2 linked regions of the Macaca fascicularis genome follow. Each later gene encodes a partner of the first gene's protein in a complex. Links are inferred from orthologs where the notes say so. Each region holds a gene or a part of one and is shown in the gene's direction. Other genes may lie near its edges.

Region 1 (10,634 bases):
TACTAAAAATACAAAAATTAGCCGGGCATGGTGGCATGTACCTGTAATCCCAGCTACTCGGGAGGCTGAGGCGTGAGAATCACTTGAACCCGGGAGGTGTAGGTTGCAGTGAGCCGAGATTGCACCACTGCACTCCAGCCTGGGCAACAAGAGCAAAATTTTGTCTCAAAAAAAGAAAAAAAGACAAAACAACCTTTGAAGGTGAATTTTTGTCTTGCTACTGAGAGGTACCTGACTTCCATGTTTTTGTGTTTCAGGTATCGAGAACCTTCCCTGCGAACTTCAGAGGAACTTCCAGCTGATGCGAGAGCTGGACCAGAGGACAGAAGGTGGGTTTAGGCCTCTCAGTACAACCAGAACTGGGTTCTGACAGCTGGGAGCCAGCAGCTCCTGAAGGCTGGGGGCAGAGGGTTTTGACGGGACCCAGGTTAGTGGGGCATTGGCCTAGCCCTGGGCTGTGGGTATCACCCAGTGTCTTGCAGTAGGTGTTGATACTTTCAAAGCCACATTTAGTTTCTTGGGTTCTTACACATCTTTATATCATGCTCTTATAAGCATCACCCTTTCCAATCAAAATATTTATTGCCATTTTTTTTCTTTTATAAATTTTCAATTTTCAGAGTATGTAGTGTGTGCATTGTTTTAAAAGTTTGGTAGTATTTTTTGGCCTTTTGGTGTTTAACTCCGGTTTGTTTTTTTTTTTTTTTTTTTTTTTGAGACGGAGTCTCTCTTTGTCGCCCCGGCCGGAGTGCAGTGGCGTGATCTCAGCTCACTGCAAGCTCCGCCTCCTGGGTTCATGCCATTCTCCTGCGTCAGCCTCCTGAGTAGCTGGGACTACAGGTGCCTGCCACCATGCCCGACTAATTTTTCTTTTTTTTTGTATTTTTAGTGGAGATGGGGTTTTACTGTATTAGCCAGGATGGTCTTGATCTCCTGACCTCGTGATCTGCCTGCCTTGGCCTCTCAAAGTACTGGGATTACAAGCGTGAGCCACCATGCCTGGCCCTAACTACATTTCTCTTTTTTTTTTTTTTTTTTTGAGAGAGTCTTACTCTGTTGCCCAGGCTGGAGTGCAGTGGCACGATCTTGGCTCACTGCAACCTCCACCTCCCACATTCAAGTGATTCGCCTGCCTCATCCTCCCGAGTAGCTGGGACTACAGGCACATGCCACCTCACCTGGCTAATTTTTTGTAATTTTAGTAGAGACAGGGTTTCACCATGTTCACCATGTTAGCCAGGATGGTGTTGATATCCTGACCTCATGATCCACCTGCCTTGGCCTCCCAAAGTACTGGGATTACAGGCATGAGCCACCACGCCCGGCCCTTAAACTCCCTATTTCTAAACAACATGTTTTAGTTGTTGTTTCTTATTTTATCTTTTGTCAGTTTTAAACTTTGTTCAGCCATATATGGCACATGCAGCTGTACTTCTCCAGTGGCCCCCACCAGCTCACCTGCCTGCACCTTGCTCCCCCATCTCCTGGCTGTAGTTAGTTGGAATTTGTGGTGAGACCAGTGATGGGACTTCCATTGGGCAACCGTGTAGGTACTTTAACACTGAGCCATGCCACCTGCTGTGCTTATATATTTGACCCCTTTTGAATAAGTCTGCGTATTTCTTTTGTTGTTTTTTTTGTTTTGGTTTGGTTTTTTTGGGGACAGAGTCTCGCTGTGTCCCCCAGGCTGGAGTGCAGTGGCTCACTCGGCTCACTGCAAGCTCCGCCTCCCAAGTTCAGGCCACTCTCCTGCCTCAGCCTTCTGAGTAGCTGGGACTACAGGTGCCCACCACCATGCCCGGCTAATTTTTTTTTGTATTTTTAGTGGAGATGGGGTTTCACCATGTTAGCCAGGATGGTCTCGATCTCCTGACCTCACGATCCACCCGCCTCAGCCTCCCAAAGTGCTGGGATTACAGGCGTGAGCCACCGCGCCCTGCCAACTTTGCGTATTTCTTAGAGTTACTCGTTGCCTTGTTTCTTGGCTTTTTTTTCTGCATTCTACCCTCGTCTCCCAGGCTGGGCTTTTCCGTTTGGTCTGAGTGTCAGGCTGTCTACCCTGACAGTTCTGTGTGTGTTTTCTTTCCATGGAACCCTCTGTCCTGGAGGCCACAGTCCTGATTGTTTCTAGGCCTACTGCACACTTGTTGCCCTGAGGTTTTCCTGGGATCTCCTTTCACCCCTCTTCAGTGTGGGACCCTCTTCCTGGAATCTTAAATGTCCTCTTTTTTTTTAACTTGCTCTCCTGTTTTGATAGAGCCTTTCCTCTGGTAGGTTCCTGAAAAAAGGCCCATAGGAAGGTAGATTTTCTTGGCCGGGCACGGTGGCTCACACCTGTAATCCCAGCACTTTGGGAGGCCGAGGCGGGCAGATCACCTGAGGTCAGGAATTCGAGACCAGCCTGACCAACATGGAGAAACCCCGTCTCTACTAAAAATACAAAATTAGCCGGGTGTGGTGGCGCGTGCCTGTAATCCCAGCTAATTGGGAGGCTGAGGCAGGAAAATCACTTGAACCTGGGAGGTGGAGGTTGCGGTGAGCCGAGATCACACCATTGCACTCCAGCCTGGACAACAAGAGCAAAACTACATCTCAAAAAAAGAAGAAAAAAAAGGAAGGTAGATTTTCTTGTAACGTAACATGTCTAAAAATGTGTTTGTTCTAGCGTCATACTCAGTTGATAGTTTGGTTGGGTATAGAATCCCAGGTTGACAATTGTTTTCACTCAGGAAGTTGGCGGCATTGCTGCCTTGTCTCCTCGCTTCCACGTTGCTGCAGAAAATCTGGTGCTGTTTGGATTCTTGGTCCTTTATATGTGTGATCTTTTTTTGTTGTTGTTATTCCTATTCAGAAGCTTTTGAGATGTATCTCTGAAGTTTTAAATTTCATGGTAATGTGTTTTGGTGTGGGAGTCTTTTATTTTTTTTTTTTGAGATGGAGTTTCACTCTTGTTGCCCAGGCTGAAGTGCAGTGGCGCAATCTCGACTCACCACAACCTCTGCCTCCCGGGTTCAAGTGATTCTTCTGCCTCAGCCTCCCAAGCAGTTGGGATTACAGGCATGCGCCACCATGCCTGACTAATTTTGTATTTTTAGTAGAGACGGGGTTTCTTCATGTTAGTCAGGCTGGTCTCGAACTCCTGACCTCAGGTGATCTGCCCGCCTTGGCCTCCCAAAGTGCTGGGATTACAGGCGTGAGGCACCATGCCTGGCCTGAGATTTTTTATGCATTATGCTGGGCACATTGTTTTTTTTTTTTTTTGAGATGGAGTTTCGCTCTTGCTGTCCACGCTGGAGTGCAATGGCACGATCTCGGCTCACCACAACCTCCACTTCCTGGGTTCAAGCAATTCTGCCTCAGCCTCCTGAGTAGCTGGGATTACAGGCATGCGCCACCACACCCTGCTAATTTTTTGTATTTTAAGTAGACATGGGGTTTCTCCATGTTGGTCAGACTGGTCTCGAACTCCAGACCTCAGGTGATCTACCCGCCTCAGCCTCCCAAAGTGCTGGGATTACAGCCATGAGCACCGTGCCCGGCCTAGGCACACGTTTTGCAAGACTGAGATAGCTGTGTTTTTTCGCTTAGGTACAGCATCTTGACTAGGGAATATAGAGAGTTATTTAATTGCAAAATGTAACATATATTCAGAAATGAGGTACAACATTTATAGATTGCTTAACAAATATTACCAGGTGAACCTCTCTGTTTTCTGCTACTGAGATGGAGAAATCAAGCCCTTTAGCACCTGAAGACCTTTGTGACCCTCCTAGTCATGACACCCATCCATCCAAGGGGTGACCATCTTGAGTTTGGTGATAGTCACCTTCCACCTTTAACAGTAGTTTTCTTTTTTTTTTTTTTCTGAAATGGAGTCTCGCTCTGCCATCAGGCTGGAATGCAGTGGCACAATCTCGACTCACTGCAACCTCTGCCTCCTGGGTTTAAGTGATTCTCCTGCCTCAGCCTCCTGAGTAGCTGGGACTATAGGCGCGTAACTCCACGCCCAGCTAATTTTTGTATTTTTAGAAGAGGCGGAGTTTCACCACGTTGGCCAGGATGGTTTCCATCTCTTGACCTCATGATCCACCTGCTTTGGCCTCCCAAAGTGCTGGGATTACATGCGTGAGCCACCGCGCCCGGCCTTCAACAGTAGTTTTCTTACCTCTCTAAACCAAAGAGTTACGAGCTGTGTCTGTTTCTGCCCTTTGTATTAATGGAATCATCCGGTATGTTTTCTTTTGTTTCTTGCTCTTTTTGCTCTGTGTCACCTTCTGTGGGAATCATCCGTGTTGCTGTGTGTAGCTGTGGTTTGCTCTATTTGTTGCTGAGTAGCACTCTGTTGTCTGAAGGGACCACATCTGATTTCTCCATTTCACTGAGGATTGGACATTTGGGTTGTTTTCTGTTTCCTGCTCTTATGAATGTTTTCCCACGTGTATTTCTTTAGGTTACATAAGGTTTCTTTAGGGTGTTTAAGAGTAGTATGTTCTTTCTTGACTGCTCTACCGAAAAAAAAAGAAAACAAAAAAAAGAGTAGTATGCCAGGGCATAGGAAAGGTGACTACATAATTAATTATTCACACAGGATGTTTGAGAGTCAAAGAGGGCACTGTGACCACCTGCTGTGTAACATTCAGAACTGGGACTGTTCTGGGCACGCTGCCGTAAAGTCTGCACATCCACATGATCCCAGACTGTTTGTGCAGAACGGTTCTGCCCACTTGCACTCCCACCAGCACGGCGTGAGTTCATGTCAGCCTACGTCTTTGCCACAACTTGGTGTTGGCTGACTTTAGTTGTTGCCGGTCTAGTGAGCCCATCGTGGTGTCTTGTGCAGGGCTAGCTTTTCCCCCATTTCTCCATCAGATAAGAAAGCAGAGATTGACATCCTGGCTGCAGAGTACATCTCCACGGTGAAGACGCTATCTCCAGACCAGCGCGTGGAGCGCCTGCAGAAGATCCAGAATGCCTACAGCAAGTGCAAGGAATACAGCGATGACAAAGTGCAGCTGGCCATGCAGACCTATGAGATGGTGAGGGTGGGTGGGGGCCACGGCACCCGCAGACCTATGAGATGGTGAGGGCGGGCGGGGGCCACGGCACCCGCAGACCTATGAGATGGTGAGGGCGGGCGGGGGCCACGGCACCCGCAGACCTATGAGATGGTGAGGGCGGGGCGGGGGCCACGGCACCCGCAGACCTATGAGATGGTGAGGGCGGGGCGGGGGCCATGGGTCTTCCTCCGACCTCTACTGCCTCTCATGCAACAAAATGTAAAAACTGCCCAGAAATGGGCATAGCCAAGTGGAAGGCTAGCTTTGGTAGCCTGACGCTGCTGGAGGAAATACAGACAAGATACACTTCATGTGGGACCATCCTTGTTTTTTTTTTTTTTTTTTCTGGACCCTTTTTGTTTGTGTATCTGCTCGGAGGAACCATTTGGTTTTTTTTTTTTTTTTGAGACAGTCTCACTTTGTCGTCCAGGCTGGGGTACAGTGGTGTAATCTTAGCTCAGTGCAACCTCCGCCTCCCAGGGTCAAGTGATTCTCGTGCCTTAGCCTCCCAAGTAGCTGGGATTACAGGCATGCAGCACCACCCCCACCTAATTTTTACATTTTTAGAAGAGACGGGGTTTCACCCTGTTGGCTACACTGGTCTCGAACTCCTGACTTCAAGTGATCCGCCCGCCTCAGCCTCCCAAAGTGCTGGGATTACAGGCATGAGCCACCATGCCCAACCTCCAGGTGGCCATATTTTATTTTATTTTACTTATTTTTTATTTTATTTTATTTTATTTTTGAGACAGTCTTGCTCTGTTGCCCAGGCTGGAGTGCAGTGGCATGATCTCAGCTCACTGCAACTTCCACTTCCCAGGTTTAAGCGATTCTCCTGCCTCAGCCTTCTGAGTAGCTGGGATTACAGGCATTACCAACAGGCTAATTTTTGTTTTTTGTTTTTGTTTTTTTTTTGAGACAGAGCTTTGCTATTGTTGCCCAGGCTGGAGTGCAATGCCACTATCTTGGCTCACCACAACCTCCGCCTCCCTTGTTGAAGCAATTCTCCTGCCTCAGCCTCCTGAGTAGCTGGGGTTATAGGCACGCACGACCAAGCCCGGCTAATTTTGTATTTTTGGTAGAGATGGGGTTGCTCCATGTTGGTCAAGCTGGTCTCGAACTCCTGACCTCAGGTGATCCTCCTGTCTCAGCCTCCCAAAGTGCTGGGATTACAGGTGTGAGCCACCGTGCCTGGCCTGTATTTTTAATAGAGATGGGGTTTTGCCATGTTGGCCAGGCTGGTCTCGAACTCCTGACCTCAAATGATCCACCCGCCTCGGCCTCACAGAGTGCTGGGGCTATGGCATGAGCCACTGCGCCTGCCCTAATTTTTGTATTTTTATTAGAGACGGGATTTTACCATGTTGGTCAGGCTGGTTTCGAACTCCTGACCTCAGGTGATCAGACTGCCTCGACCTCCCAAAGTGCTGGGATTACAGGTGTGAGCCGCTGCACCTGGCCTCCAGGTAGCCACATTTTAAAGTAGGATTCAGCGTCAGATATCCCAGGCCTTGTTCACCGCATTTCACAACTCTGCTTCTCATTATTGCCCACACGCCTGTCTTTTCCTTAAATGGGATTCATTCCACTGCAGTCAAAATATGCAGAAAAAGCACAAGACCTTGCATGGACTTTGAAATAGTGGGCCTGGATTTAGCAGAGGTTTGTTCACTGACGACTCAATTAAAGGGCAAGAAGGCATTTCCTAGTGGATACTTTTGTACATTTGTGATTTCTAAGGTGTTTCAGTTTTACTTTAAAACAAGACTTTGGGTATCCTTTTGTAGGTGGATAAACACATTCGAAGGCTTGACGCAGACCTGGCGCGCTTTGAGGCAGATCTGAAGGACAAGATGGAGGGCAGTGATTTTGAAAGCTCCGGAGGGCGAGGGTTAAAAAGCAAGTCTGTTAAATTTTTTTCTTTATTACTGTTAACTATGGCGTTTTGAAGTTTTGTCACAGTAAATCATTGAAGTATGATCACTAGGGTAAGTATCATATTTGGGTAAACCTTGTCTTGCAAGCTGGGCACAGTGGCTCACGCCTGTAACCCCAGCACTTTGGGAGGCCAAGGCAGGAGGATTGCTTGAGGCTGGGAGTTTGAGACCAACCTGGGCAACATAGTGAGACCTCATCTCAACAAAAAAGTTAAAAATTAGCCGGGTGTAGTGGTGCACACCTGTGGTCCCAGCTACTTGGGAGGCTGAGGTGGGTGGATTGCTTGAGCCTGGGAGGTCAAGGCTGCGGTGAGCTATGATTGTTCCATTGCACTCCAGCCAGCCTGGGAGACAGAGCGAGACTCCTTCTTAAAAACAAAACACAAAACTTGCCTTGCTTTAGCGAATTCTATAAAAATAATTTTCATCTTGATTGTTTTTCAGAAGGCCGGGGTCAGAAAGAAAAAAGAGGGTCCCGGGGCCGAGGCAGGAGGACATCAGAGGAAGATACACCAAAGAAAAAGAAGCATAAAGGAGGGTAAGAGGCTTTCCCCTCTTTTTCCCAGAAGAACAAATACCCATAGCCAGTATCCCGGATGTAGAAACACTGATGGAAGCTGACCCTTGAGTGAAGTGCACTCCGTGTGCTGGGTAGCATTCGGGTTCTTCTGGTTCTTATGCTGTGTGCCTGTCATCAGCCCGTCCTCACCGCAGCCATGGAGGGGGTGCCGTTGTTGGGCATTTTCCGTGTCGCAGGGACCTGCCCAGGCGTTAGAGCTGCTGTGGTGTGGCTGGGCCTGCACCTGGAGTCTGACTCCAGTGCCTGTCTTCTTAGCCACGGTGTGTGCTGCCCCGCTAGGGACAGTAGGTTGGTGAGCGTGTTGTTGACAGAGGCCAATGTAAACCACTCTTCAAGTAGCTAGATTTCTGTGTATCTGTCAGTTATTTTATGTGTCAGTATATAGTTTGCATATATTCATTGTTAAATTATGTGGCCACATTTATTAAATAGACATGTCATTTAACTTGAAGTTCTTTGAGATACTTTATTTAAAGCATTCTCCCACTGACACCCTCCCTGCCAAAGGTATTGTGTACCCTCCAAAGAGATCAGAGCATTACCTCGGAGGAGTGACATTTAGACTAAAGAGAAAATGCTGAAATGCCACAAAGCCTCTATGGAGATGATTCTGGTGGGGAGTGGTCAAAGAGTGTCAGTTTTGGGCATGGTGGCTCATGCCTATAATTCCAGCACTTTCGAAGGCCAAGGCGGGAGGATCACTTGAGCCCAGGAATCTGAGACCAGTCTGGGCAACAAAGTGAGACCCCCATCTCTACAAAAAATAGAAAAAATTAGGTGAGTGTAGTGGCGTGGGCTGTAGTCCCAGCTACTAAGGGAAACTGAGCTGGGAGGATCGTGAGCCATGATCGCACCACTGCACTCCAGCCTGGTCCACAGCGTGAGATTCTGTCTCAAAAAAAAAAAAAAAAAGAGTTCTTCATGACAAAAAAGGCACCATTTTCAGTTTTTTTGTTTTTTGTTTTTTGTTTTTTTTGAGACAGGGTTTCACTCTTGATGCCCAGGCTGGAGTGCAATGGCACAATTCTCCTGCCTCACCCTCCTGGATAGCTGGGACTACAAGCATGCACTACCATGCCCAGCTACTTTTTTGTATTTTTAGTAGAAATGGGGTTTCACCATGTTAGCCAGGCTGGTTTCGAACTCCTGACCTCAGGTGATCCACCCGCCTCAGCCTCCCAAAGTGCTGGGATTACAGGCGTGAGCCACTGCACCCGGCCCAATTTTCAGGTTTTTTTTTTTTTTTTGAGATGGAGTCTCACTCTGTCACTCAGGCTGGAGTGCAGTGGCACAATCTTGGTTCACTGCAACCTCTGCCTCCCAGGTTCAACCAGTTCTCCTGCCTGAGCCTCCTGAGTAGCTGGGACTACAGGTGCATGCCACCACATCCAGCTAATTTTTTGTATTTTTAGTAGAGATGAGGTTTCACCTCGTTAGCCAGGATGGTCTTGATCTCCTGACCTCGTGATCCACCTGCCTTGTCCTCCCAAAGTGTTGGGATTACAGGTGTGAGCCACTGTGCCCTGCTGCAATTTTCAGTTTTGAAATCTAGTGCTTAGCCTTTTGGCCAGGCGCAGTGGCACACGCCTATAATTGCAGCACTTTGGGAGGCCAAGGCGGGTTAATCACCTGAGGTCAGGAGTTCAGGACCAGCCTGAGCAACACCGTGAAACCCTGTCTCTACCAAAAATGCAAAATACTTAGCTGGGTGGTGGCATCTGCCTGTAATCCCAGCTACTTGGGAGGCTGGTGCAGGGAGATTGCTTGAACCTGGGAGGTGGAGGTTGCAGTGAGTCAAGATCGCGCCACTGTACCCCAGCCTGGGCGACAGAGCGAAACTCCATCTCAAAAAAAAAAAAAATCCCTATATTCTTGTCTTGTAAAGTAGCGCACAGATACAGAAAACCGCACAGAACAAACATGGTTTAATTAATTTCCGTAAAGTGAAGGTCTTTGTAACTAGCACCTAGTCAGTGGTTAGCTGCAGTTGGAAGGCCTTCCATATGCCCTGTTAAAATCATAAACTCCTTCTGTCCCCAAATAAACATGATGCAGATTTCTAGTGTTTATTTCCTTGTTTCTTTAATAGTTTTATAGTGCATTCCTAGACACTATACATTATAGTTTAGTCCTGTTTTTCTAACTTTTTAAATTAACTTTATTAAGGAATAATTTACATGCAATGAAATGTTGTTCTAAATGTACAGTTTGATGCTGCATTCAGTTCCTTTAAAGCTATAGAAGTTTTCAGGCTTTCTATTTCTTCTCGGGTCAGTTTTGGACAAAATCTGTGTCTTTCAAGAAATTTGTTTCACGTAAGTTGTCAGATTTTGTTGACATCAGGTTGTTAATAATTTTGCATTATTATGGTTCGGATGTAGTGTCTGTGTTGATGGTCCCTCTTTCAGTCCTGATATTGGTAATTTATGTTTCTCTCATTTTATCTTGATCTTTTTTTTTTTTTGAGACAGGGTCTCGCTCTGTCACCCAGGCTGGAGTGCAGTGGCATGATCTTGGCTCACTGCAGCCTCACCTCCTGGGCTCAAGATATCCTCCCACTTTGGCCTTCCAAGTAGCTGGGACCACAAGTGCATGCCACCATGCCTGGCTAATTTTTTATATTTTTGGTAGAGATGGAGTTTCGCCATGTTGCGCAGGATGGTCTCAAACTCCTGAGCTCAAGTGATCCACCCACGTTGGCCTCCCAAAGTGCTGGAATATAATTTTTTTTTTTTTTTTTCGTGAGACGGAGCCTTGCTCTGTTGCCCAGGCTGGAGTGCAGTGGTGCAATCTTGGCTTACTGCAACCTCTGCCTCCCGGGTTCAAGCGATTCTCTTGCCTCAGCCTCCTGAGTAGCTGGGATTAGAGGCATGTACCACCATGCCTGGCTAATTTTTTTTGTGTGTATTTTTAATAGAGACAGAGTTTTGCCATGTTGGCCAGGCCGGTCTTGAACTCCTGACCTCAGGTGATCCACCTGCCTTGGCCTCCCAACATACTGGCATTACAGGCGTGAGCCACCACACCTCGCCTAGAATTTTTTTTTTTTTTTTTTTTTGA
Region 2 (10,634 bases), on another chromosome or scaffold:
TTCAAGCTTATAGTAAGAACCTCGCTTTGTTTTCTAGCCAAGTGAAAGCTCTAGGGTGAAATTCTTTTCACCCCTGAGGTCAGTTTCCTAATGAAATTCTTTCTGACCCAAAGGGCCATAGCTGCTCTCTGGTATACCTGGGGGTAGGGGGAAGCAGTCCCAGATCCTACTCCAGCAAAGGTTATTGCTTTATAATGAAGAAACAGTGCTATAATACTGGGGCAGCTCAGGAGGAAGGCATGGGGTAGAGAAGGGTGGAAGGGCTCTTGGAACTGTGGGTCAAGGAAGGGGACAAGACTTTTACCTGCTGCAGCCCCAGGAGGTGTGAACAGGGAGAGGACTTTTGCAAGAAGGAGATTCCTAGTCCCTCTTCTCTTCCTTCCTGCAGCGAGAGCAAGATGAGAAGACAAGTGCAGTGAAGGAAGAGCTGAAGTATTGGCAGAAGCTCCGGCATGACTTGGAGCGGGCGCGGCTGCTGATTGAGCTGATTCGGAAGAGAGAGAAGCTCAAACGGGAGCAGGTAAGGAGGAGCCCCCAGCCCTAGAGCCCTAGTTCAAGGTCACTTTCTCCCACTATCAGTCTAGTATTGGGAAATCTGGGAGCCCCTGCCTTATGCTAGCTTGCTTTCTCCCCTCCCTACCCAGGATTGTAGGCTCCAAGAGCTGCCTACTTTGTATTAGCTGTGGTGCTACTGGTGGTTTCTATATTTTGGGTTTCAGCTCCTGGTAGCCTCAAGCATAAGCTTAATATCATATATATGCCTGGGCCCGTCCCTGGAATTTCTGATTCAGGAAGTCTCAGAGGGAGCCTGGCCTTGAGGATTTTGGAAAGCTTCTTAGGCCATTCTAATGGGCATCATCAGTTGAAAGCCTCTGGCCTGGGAACTTCTGAGGGTTCCCACTTGACTCTTAAACACTTATGGTCTTGAATCATTTAAATTTTCTATTTATCCTCCGTTCTAGGAGATTTTAAGCCCCTGAGCATAGGAAATGTTGAGGTAGGTAGTGTAATATAGTGGTTTAGGAACATGAGCTATGGCACCAGACTTCCTGGGTTTAAATCCTGCCTCTTCTACTTACTACCTATGTGACGTTAAGCAAGTTCTTCAATCGCTTAATACATCGGTTTTCTCACCTGGAATATGGGGGTAATTATAGAGCCTACATCATAAGGTTGTTTTGAGGATTAGAAGACTTAGTCTATGTAAAGAGTTTAGAACAGTGCCTGGCACATAGTGACAGAGAAGTGTCAGCTGCTGTCATTATTATTATTATCAATTTTTTGCTTCCCTGCAGTGTCTACTGCACATGGCAGAGAGCAAATACTATTAATTGAGTAGATGAAAAGCCAAAACTGTTCTCTCTGGGCTAGGAATAGCAGCTGTCGCTCACATGCTTCAGAGGCCCGGGTTAAAGATGTTCCTTTCTTGCCGGGCACAGTGGCTCATGCCTGTAATCCCAGCACTTAGGGAAGCAGAAGCAGGAGGATAGGTCGAGTCCAGGAGTTTGAGACGAACCTGGGCAACAAAGCAAGACCTGTTCTCCATAAAAAGGGAGGAAAAAAAAAAGATGTTTCTTTCTCTTTCTCCAAATTCTAATTCATTGTTCAGCCTTAGCACAACCCCTTTTCTAGCAGGCCAGTAGCCTGAGTTTCCTCCTCATAGCCTGGGCATCTCATGCCATATTTACCATGGGTGGCCATGGAGGACATCTCAGGACCTTCTTCAAGGGTTCAAAATGTCTGTGCTATCCCAGGCATGATCCCACAGCTGAACTTCTTATCTCATCTCTGATTCAGAGAAATGAGAGAGAGAAAAAGGCCCTGGTCCTGGGGAAGTAGGCAGGCCTGTTTTGATATAGCCAAAAGGTGGGAATTTTCTATAGTCTTAATTTGTGGCTTCCCAACTTTTCACATTGGGGCATATGTAGAAAATAGCATTTGTACAGCATACTACTGTAAATATATGAAGCTACTTGCCACTTGTGGGGGTAAACCTGGAGGCCCTGGTGACCCCATGCTGACCCAGATGCTCCAAGGGCTGATGGAATCAGTACCTCAGCACACTGAATGGGAAATTCTGATTCAAGCACATTTTACATCATCATTGTGTCCCTTGGACTAGTCAGACTTGGGTTCAAATCCTATCTCTATTCTTTTCTAGCCAGATAACCTTAGAGTAATAACTCTTGCATCATGCTCTCTCTAATCCTCAGATTCCGTATATATATTTTTTTAATTTGTATTTTTTTTCTTTTAGTCCTTGGTGATCCTTGTTCTGATCTATATTTGTAAAATGGGGATAATAATTTCTGTTTCAGGGTTATCGTGATGATTAATAGAGGTAATACAAGTACAGAGTTAGTGTGGCATAATGGTCAAGAGCATTCACTGTGGAACCACTGTCTGGTACTGAATTCCAACTCCGTTCCTTATTAGCTATGACTTTAGGCCAGTTACTTAGTCGTTGTGTGCCTTAGTTTCCTCTTTGTAAAGTACCTCATCTGTTCCTACCTCATATACTCATTTATTTTACATAAAATGCTTAGAACATTACCTGGCATTTAGTAAGGGCTATAGAAGTGTTAATTATTGTAATTGTAATGATAATTATTATTACTGTAAATTTTAGTATGGTGTTTGGTACATAGGAAACAATCATAAAATAGTAGCTGTTGGTATCATTATTCCTAGGCTGAAGGTTGAGTGATAGCTCCTCATACTGGTCAGCTCAATATTCTATGAAAATTTGTTGTACATGATTGGTAAAAGTCAAGCTATCACGAAAAAGTTTCAGCACAGTTTTGCAGGAGATGTCCTGATCTGATCTCACCCCACCTTCCCCACAGGTCAAAGTCCAGCAGGCTGCCATGGAGCTGGAGTTGATGCCATTCAATGTTCTGTTGAGGACAACACTGGACCTGCTGCAGGAGAAGGATCCTGCACACATCTTCGCAGAACCAGTCAACTTGAGTGAGGCAAGTTCCCCCCACTTTCCAAGTAGTAAATTCTTCCTGAACTGGAACAGGGTCTGAGTAGGGTAGGAAGGAGTTGGGCCACAGGGTGTACAAAACCAGGGGTAGGAGGGTGGGTCTGGCAAAGCTAGTAGATTTGCCCTTGATGAGGGGTCAGCAGGCCAGGGTGGGCCAGGACCATAGGACTCTGAGTTAGCCTGGCTTGGCCAAATCAGAAACCGAGGAGGCCAAGAGTATTGGTGAAGGGTGTGCCTGTTTGGCTAGTAAATGGTTGTTGTAATTGTACAGGTTTTATATGTTTAGGTTCCAGATTACCTGGAATTCATATCCAAGCCAATGGATTTTTCTACTATGAGGCGGAAGCTGGAGTCCCACCTGTACCGCACCTTGGAGGAGTTTGAGGAGGACTTTAACCTTATAGTTACCAACTGCATGAAGTATAATGCTAAAGACACAATTTTCCACCGAGCAGCTGTCCGCCTGCGGGACCTGGGAGGGGCCATCCTACGGCATGCCCGGCGGCAGGCAGAGAACATCGGCTATGACCCCGAGAGGGGCACTCACCTGCCCGAGTCACCCAAATTGGAAGACTTTTACCGCTTCTCCTGGGAAGACGGTGAGAGGCCTGGATGGGTGGGGAGGAGAGGGGCCAGGAGGAGGCACAGGAACAGAGTCTACAGAGTGAGGGATCAGGGTGGTCTTTGGGACTATAGGTAGACTCCAGGAGCAAAGCTGAGGGTGAGCACAGACTGAGGTATACCTTTGTGGCTAGAATAGTTCTAAGGGTTAAAGTTTAACTAACGCACTCAGCACTTCTTAAGTGGTAGAAAAGGGGAATCAGGTACTAGTGGTCTGTTTGAAAAGCTTAAAGCCTCATCAGAGGTCTTCCTTTCTTGGATCCCCTCTGTATGGCATTGGAGCATGGGACAGGGAGAGTGCATTGCTGGTGTGTGTCTGGCTCATTCAGAAGATTGCAGGTGGAGGACCAGAAAAATGGAATTGCCTCTGAGCCCCACACGCTGCCTGTCCCTGCTCTCTGCTTCTCGATGGCAGCAGCCAGTCACTCAGGCCAGGGTATTGCCAAGCTGCCTCATGCCTGCTCCATGGAGCCCATAATCGTGACTGTGAACTGCTTCCTGCAGACGTTTCCCAGATTCTGACCTTGTCCCTGTGGCTGCCTTCTGGGCAGTGGTGTTGCAGGGCCAAGGCCCACAGTGACGCTGCTGGAAGCTGCTGGCCCAGGCATTCCAAGAGAGAGTTTTGCATCCGAAGGATTCGGCCCCTTTCTCTTGCCCTGTGCTGGGCAGGTCCTTCAGCCCCTTCTGTCCTCCCTTCTCCCTGGCAGTGGACAACATCCTCATCCCAGAGAACCGGGCCCATTTGTCCCCAGAGGTGCAGCTGAAGGAGCTGCTGGAGAAACTGGACCTGGTGAGCGCCATGCGGTCCAGTGGGGCCCGCACCCGCCGTGTCCGCCTGCTACGCCGGGAGATCAATGCCCTTCGGCAGAAGCTGGCACAGCCACCACCACCACAGCCACCATCACTGAACAAGACAGTATCCAATGGGGAGCTGCCAGCAGGGCCCCAGGGGGATGCAGCTGTGCTGGAGCAGGCCTTGCAGGAGGAGCCAGAAGACGATGGGGACAGAGGTGAGAGATAGTCACAGGCAGGCAGGGGGTTGGAGGGTAAAGAGGGATAAAGGCTAAGCTGAAATCTAATAATGGGGTATCCTTTCCGAGTTTAGATCTGACACTTATGGGCAAGCAAAAGCCCTTGGAAGGGTCACATTTCCATGTATACGCAGGGATGATGTTCAAAATATTTAACAATCAATAGAGACCAAAATTTATCCATCTCAGTAAATGTTGGCTGTTGTATTGGAGTGGGCTCCCAAAGGCTTCTGATGTGAATATTTAGTTGCTGGATTGTGGGGAGTTTCAGGTGCTGCAGCCCAGCAGCTGTTTATTAGCCAATTAAGTATGTCAGTATTTTGCACCTGATACAGCCATATTGTACATACCAGTTAAATATCAGCCTACCTTGTATCATCATGTGGAGAGACTCTTAGAGCAGGTTAGGTTGGGATGTGAGGGGATAGCAGAGAAGGAAAGACCCCGGGCTTTTGAGCCACCTCATGGTTTTTACCCCATTTGGCTGAATCTATAGGCCCATCTCAAGTAGAGAGGCCAGACTATAAAAGATAGTTGGTTTCCACAGATTTTCTTAATCTTGAGAAAAGACAAAAAAGAAGAAAAGACAGCTGGGGAAGTGATTCTCAGAAACCCAGGAACGTTATAAGCTAAGCTGCTTCTCATTCTTCCCCTTCATTGGGGATGGAATTGTCTCCCTCATACCTGCCTTTGGATCTGAGCCTACAGGTTGGGAGAGCCTGTCACACACACAGTTCAAAAGGTTGGAAGTTACTTCCAATGGATAGGGGCCCAGATTGTAGGTAACAGCCCATTTTATTTCAGGTTGGCAGAGAATGGGGACATGGTTGAGAGATCACATTTGACATCAGAGGGCTTTGTGTCCGTTGTGATTCCTCTGGACTCCCCATGTGACAGTCAGCATGCCACTTGTATCCCTACTTCTGGGGCTGTGGCAGTGCAGAGTTGTGCCCAGTAGGCCAACAGCATCGCCTAGAAAATTAAAAAAAAAAAAAAACAAACATGTCGTAGCCTCACCTCCCATAGATTCAGTTAGGGATGTCTGGGCTTTGGCTTGGAAGTCTCAATTTTTAAAAGTTTCAAGGTGGTAGGTGAGCAGACATGTTTGGCAACCACTGATTTAACTTACTTGGTCTCTGTTTTTCACATTTTTGAACTTTTTCTGCATGCTGTACTTGCTGTCACTTGGGTGATGTGAAATAAACTCGAAAGACAGATGAGAAAACTCTTGAGTCCAGTGAGAATTGTAGATACCTAATCTGTCAAGCTGAGACTTACCTATTTATTGATTAAGCATGTGACTTTCTTGGGTGTAGAGCAATGGTTTGCAATCCTCACTTCATTAGACTCACCTGGTAAGCTTTAAAAAACAAATAGCCTATCTTTACAAATTTGGTTTCAGTTGGTATGGGATGGAGCCTAGGCACTGGAATTTTTAAGAAACTTCCTATGTGATTCTTATACATAGCCAGGGTTAAGAACTACTAGTGTAGATAAAACTTACTTCTTCTGGGGTTGGGTACAGTGGCTCATCGCTGTGATCCCAGCACTTTGGGAGGCAGAGGCAGGGGGATTGTTTGAGACCAGGAATTTGAGACCAGCCTGGGTAACATACTAAGACTCTGTTTCTACAAAAATTTTTTTAAAAAATTAGCCAGGCGTGGTGGTGTGTACTTGTAGATCTAGCTACTTTGGAGGCTGAGGCAGGATCATCACTTGAGCCCAGGAGTTTGCAGTTGCAGTGCTCTGTGATCAGACCACTGCACTCCAGCCTGCTCAACAGAGCAAGATCCTGTCTCTGAAAGAAAACAAACCTAATCCTCCTTTCTCTTTGCTTCAGATCTAAGACCTTGAATGCATCTCAAGCCTTGTAACAGCCCATGCTTTTGGTCCTTGGTTATCAGTGTCAGTATCTAGCCTGTTCAGATCTAAGACCTTGAATGCATCTCAAGCCTTGTAACAGCCCATGCTTTTGGTCCTTGGTTATCAGTGTCAGTATCTAGCCTGTAGGAGCAGACTCTTTCTAAAATGTTCAAGCAGGTTCTCTTTTTTTCTAATAGATGACTCCAAACTGCCTCCTCCACCAACCCTGGAGCCCACTGGGCCTGCACCTTCCTTGTCTGAGCAAGAATCCCCGCCGGAGCCCCCAACTCTGAAACCCATCAATGATAGCAAACCTCCAAGCCGGTTCCTAAAGCCCAGAAAGGTGGAAGAAGATGAGCTCTTGGAAAAATCACCGCTGCAGCTAGGGAGTGAGCCTTTGCAACGCTTGCTCAGTGACAATGGCATCAACAGACTATCCCTCATGGCCCCTGACACCCCGGGCGGTACCCCACTTAGTGGTGTGGGTCGCCGCACATCAGTCCTCTTCAAGAAGGCCAAGAATGGGGTTAAGCTACAGAGAAGCCCAGACAGGGCCCTGGAGAATGGCGAGGACCATGGTGTGGCAGGCTCTCCTGCCTCTCCAGCCAGCATCGAGGATGAGCGCCACTCCCGGAAGCGGCCAAGGAGCGGGAGCTGTAGTGAGAGCGAAGGGGAGAGGTCCCCCCAGCAGGAGGAAGAGACAGGTGACCCTGCCTGTGACTTCTCTTGATACTTCGCATCTGCTTTTCTGCTTTGCCTTGCCAATCAGCACCTTCCCCAATTGGCCATCTCTCTAATGGCCCCATTGGACAGCAATAGTAGCATTGAGGGCACCATAGCTCACAGTTGGGCCTGGCATGTGAGTAGCAGCCAGGGGAAATAGGCTTTGAGCAGGTATTTTCCAGAGAGCCAGATTGTGTCTGGGACTCTCATTGGCCCTGAGGGTAAAGCAATGTTGTATAAAGTAAAATGATTCCTACCTTCATTTCAGTTCATCAAATATTTGTGTCAGGCACTGTTCTAGGCATTGGGGGAAAAAATCAATGAACAAAACAGACAAAAATCTCCTCTCTTATGGGGGAATACATTAAAAGCAAATGAGTAAACTGTATCTTGTATTAGAAGCTTTGGAGAACGATCTAGCAGGGAAGGAATTCTAGGGTGGTCTTAGAGATGGTGGCCAGGTCTTCTAAAGAGGTAACGTTTGAGTAAAGATCTGAAGGAATTGAAGGCATGAGCTATTTGTATGTCTAGGGGAAGAACATTCCAAAAAGATAGACTAGAAAGTACACAGGCCCTGGAGGTGGGAACATGCCTGCATGTCTGAGGAACAGTGAGGGAACCAGTTTGGCTGCAGTAGAGGGGTTGGAGTGGGGTGAGGTGGTGATAGAGGTAGATAATGGAGGTTCCATCACTAAAGAGAATTCTTTTTTTTTTTTTTTTTTTTTAGTGGAGATAGGGTTTCACCTGTTGGCCAGGCTGGTCACCTTACCCCAAGTGATTTACCCACCTCAGCCTCCCAAAGTGATGGGATTACAGGCGTGAGCCACTGCGCCCCGCCTAAAGTGTTCTTAATATACATCCAGCAAGAGCAAGAGCTAGTCATGAGTAGGTGTGGGGAAGTAATAAAATAAGTCAGACTTAATTCCAGCTCTGGAAGGTTCACAGGCCATTGGGCAAATGAGTCTCTCAAAATGTAGAGAAATCACAGTGGTGAACAGTATGTTGTTATTTGTCAGGTGAGAGGTAGCATTGCTAGAGGTGTTCAGGGAATTTGAGCTGTAGGAGTTGGCCTGAGCTGGCCCTGTGGGATGAGGGCAGACTGGCAAGGAATGGTTATGAAGGCCTCAGGCCTGGGTCTGTGGGAACAAGGAGGAGGACAGAATCTCTGTGAGGGACAGCTTAGAGAGGGGCTTCCCAGAGCATCAGGAGCCAAGACTGGATGGGTAAGATGGGACTGAATGTGAAGGACTTTGAAGCCGGGCAGAGTACTTAGGTCTTGGTGGGTTAGGGAAGACCCACTTTCTTGGCAGGGAGGGCTGCTCTTGGCTTTTGCTTTTTGTGTCTCTCATGTACTTTTATGTGGTGACTTTGGACTGTGTGGCCAGCACTTGCTTTTCTGTGTTCTTGCCTGACATTTTGTTTTCAACAATACCTTCCCATCTCATCTGGCCAAAACTTTTCTGTGTCAGGGGAGTAAGTTGGTTTATAGAGGCAAGAGCCTAAGGCCTGAAGTTAGGCATACCTGTGCTCAAATCCCCAATTTCTTACTGGCTGTGTAACCACAGGAAAATTAGTTAACTTCTCTGAGCCTGTTTCCTTATTCCTAATAGGGGGTTTCTGATACGTACCTTTGCAGGGTTCTAAGAACTAGAAATACCCTTTATAAAGCACTTGGCATATAGCAGTAGATGGTAGCAGTTACTGTCATCCTCTCAGCTGAATCAGGCTTAGCCATACAGTGCTGAGAACACTGCATTAAAAGAATGAGAGATCCTGCTATTGGGAAGTAACTGTACATGAGGCCCATCCAACCTGAGGGGGCCTGTTGCTTGGAGATACTGCTAGAATCCTGTCTCTCTCTCACCATCCCAATTGCCTGGCACTCAGGAATACTTCTATACAATCTTAGTTGAATCTCACAAAAAGAGGTGTTGATCCTTTGTAAGTGAGGCACCCAAGACACAGATGGCTTCAGTGATTTAAATTGTGGTAATAATGTTAGAGGCAGAACCAGGTCACAGGATAGACATTGTGGCTCAGACACCTGCTCTTATAGAAGGGACTTGCCTCACAGTTTTCTAGTTAAGGTGTCTGTAATTTACAGCTTTCAAATCAGGTGCCTGGTCCATCTCCGCACACCTCTTGGCTCAGCTATTATAATTATAGGACTTTTAGTGTGGTTGGCAATTAGATAAAGGCCAGGCACAGTGGCTCATGCCTGTAATCCCAGCACTTTGGGAGGCTGAGGCAGAAGGATTACTTGAGCCCAGGAGCTCGAGACCAGCCTGAGCAATATGGCAAGACCCGGTTTCTACAAAGTTAAAAAGTTAGCTGCGCATAGGGTGCATGCCTGTGGTCACAGCTACTGAGGAGGTTGAGGCAGGGGATCACTGGAACCCAGGCTATTGAGGCCCCAGTGAGCCTTGTTTACACCACTGCACTCCAGCCTGGGCAACAGCGAGACCCTATCTCAAAAAAATAGAAAAATAAATGTGGATAGATAGGAGAGTAGAAGCCTTCACTTCAAGGTCACATACCTGGGATGACCAAATAGCCTTCATTCGCCTCTGAAGGACTCCCCACTGTAAACAGACCTTCTCTCATACATACTGAATAGTAAGTAAGGTATTATCTTCACTTCACAAAAGGAGAGGTCAAGAGACCTCAAAGAAAGAGAAAAGGAACCTGTGTTTCAGAGCCCAGCCTAGAACCCCAGGTTCTGACTCTCCCTGCCAGGAAGTTCTGGGCTGCTTTAGTTCTGCTGAAGAGTACCCCCATCCTCAATTTGGATTAGCCCTGCGAGGTATCTCAGGGTGTGGTTGACAAAGGGCCCTTATCCTTCTCTAGTCTCTCTTGACATCACCCCCAAAGAATCAAACTAGCTATTGCCAGCTATGTGAGGCATAGGTTATGTGAGTGTTTATCTGAAGAGGCAAGGTGGGTGGGCTCCTGAAAAAGGCAGAGATTACCTGATAATTGAGATTTGAAATTAGAAGCAAATCCAGGGACTTGTGAGCAAGCCAGGGTGGGAGAAGTCTTAGTATCTCCCTGTGTAGCCAAATGACAGTAGCTGAGTGAGCTGTGTGCTATGGTTTCCTTAAAGTAAAAGCAGAAGGATGGGAAGGAAATTGCAGTGTCTGCTCCTTGCCCTAGCCAGCAATATTTCCCCCCAAACTTTTGTCTTGATCATATCTTCTTTATCACCCAAGACCCATTTCTCACAGGGAAAGGAATAGCCATCCTCTCCACTCCTCACTGAGCCCTCCTGAGGTGGCTGCCTCACCCTGATAGCATGTGTTGGGAAGGGGGATTTCTGCACTCAGACTCACTATGTGTGTCCTTGGCAGGCATGACCAACGGCTTTGGAAAACACACCGAAAGCGGGTCTGACTCGGAATGTAGTTTGG

The links.
Region 2: ING5 (region 1) and BRPF3 share a complex: the UniProt entries of both Homo sapiens proteins name them as parts of the MOZ/MORF complex. The link is inferred for Macaca fascicularis from reciprocal best matches to the Homo sapiens genes ING5 and BRPF3.

What each region holds. Positions count from the first base shown.
Region 1 is NC_088386.1:137,644,498-137,655,131, forward strand, and holds part of ING5 (inhibitor of growth protein 5), read left to right. Parts: intron 1-257; coding exon 258-329; intron 330-4,869; coding exon 4,870-5,036; intron 5,037-6,844; coding exon 6,845-6,956; intron 6,957-7,438; coding exon 7,439-7,532; intron 7,533-10,440; coding exon of another isoform or gene 10,441-10,446; intron 10,447-10,634. UniProt on the Homo sapiens protein: Component of the HBO1 complex, which specifically mediates acetylation of histone H3 at 'Lys-14' (H3K14ac) and, to a lower extent, acetylation of histone H4. Component of the MOZ/MORF complex which has a histone H3 acetyltransferase activity.
Region 2 is NC_088378.1:135,456,010-135,466,643, reverse strand, and holds part of BRPF3 (bromodomain and PHD finger-containing protein 3), read left to right. Parts: intron 1-388; coding exon 389-520; intron 521-2,846; coding exon 2,847-2,975; intron 2,976-3,260; exon of another isoform or gene 3,261-3,275; coding exon 3,276-3,588; intron 3,589-4,161; coding exon of another isoform or gene 4,162-4,190; exon of another isoform or gene 4,191-4,311; intron 4,312-4,317; coding exon 4,318-4,620; intron 4,621-6,681; exon of another isoform or gene 6,682-6,701; coding exon 6,702-7,208; intron 7,209-10,574; coding exon 10,575-10,634. UniProt on the Homo sapiens protein: Scaffold subunit of various histone acetyltransferase (HAT) complexes, such as the MOZ/MORF and HBO1 complexes, which have a histone H3 acetyltransferase activity.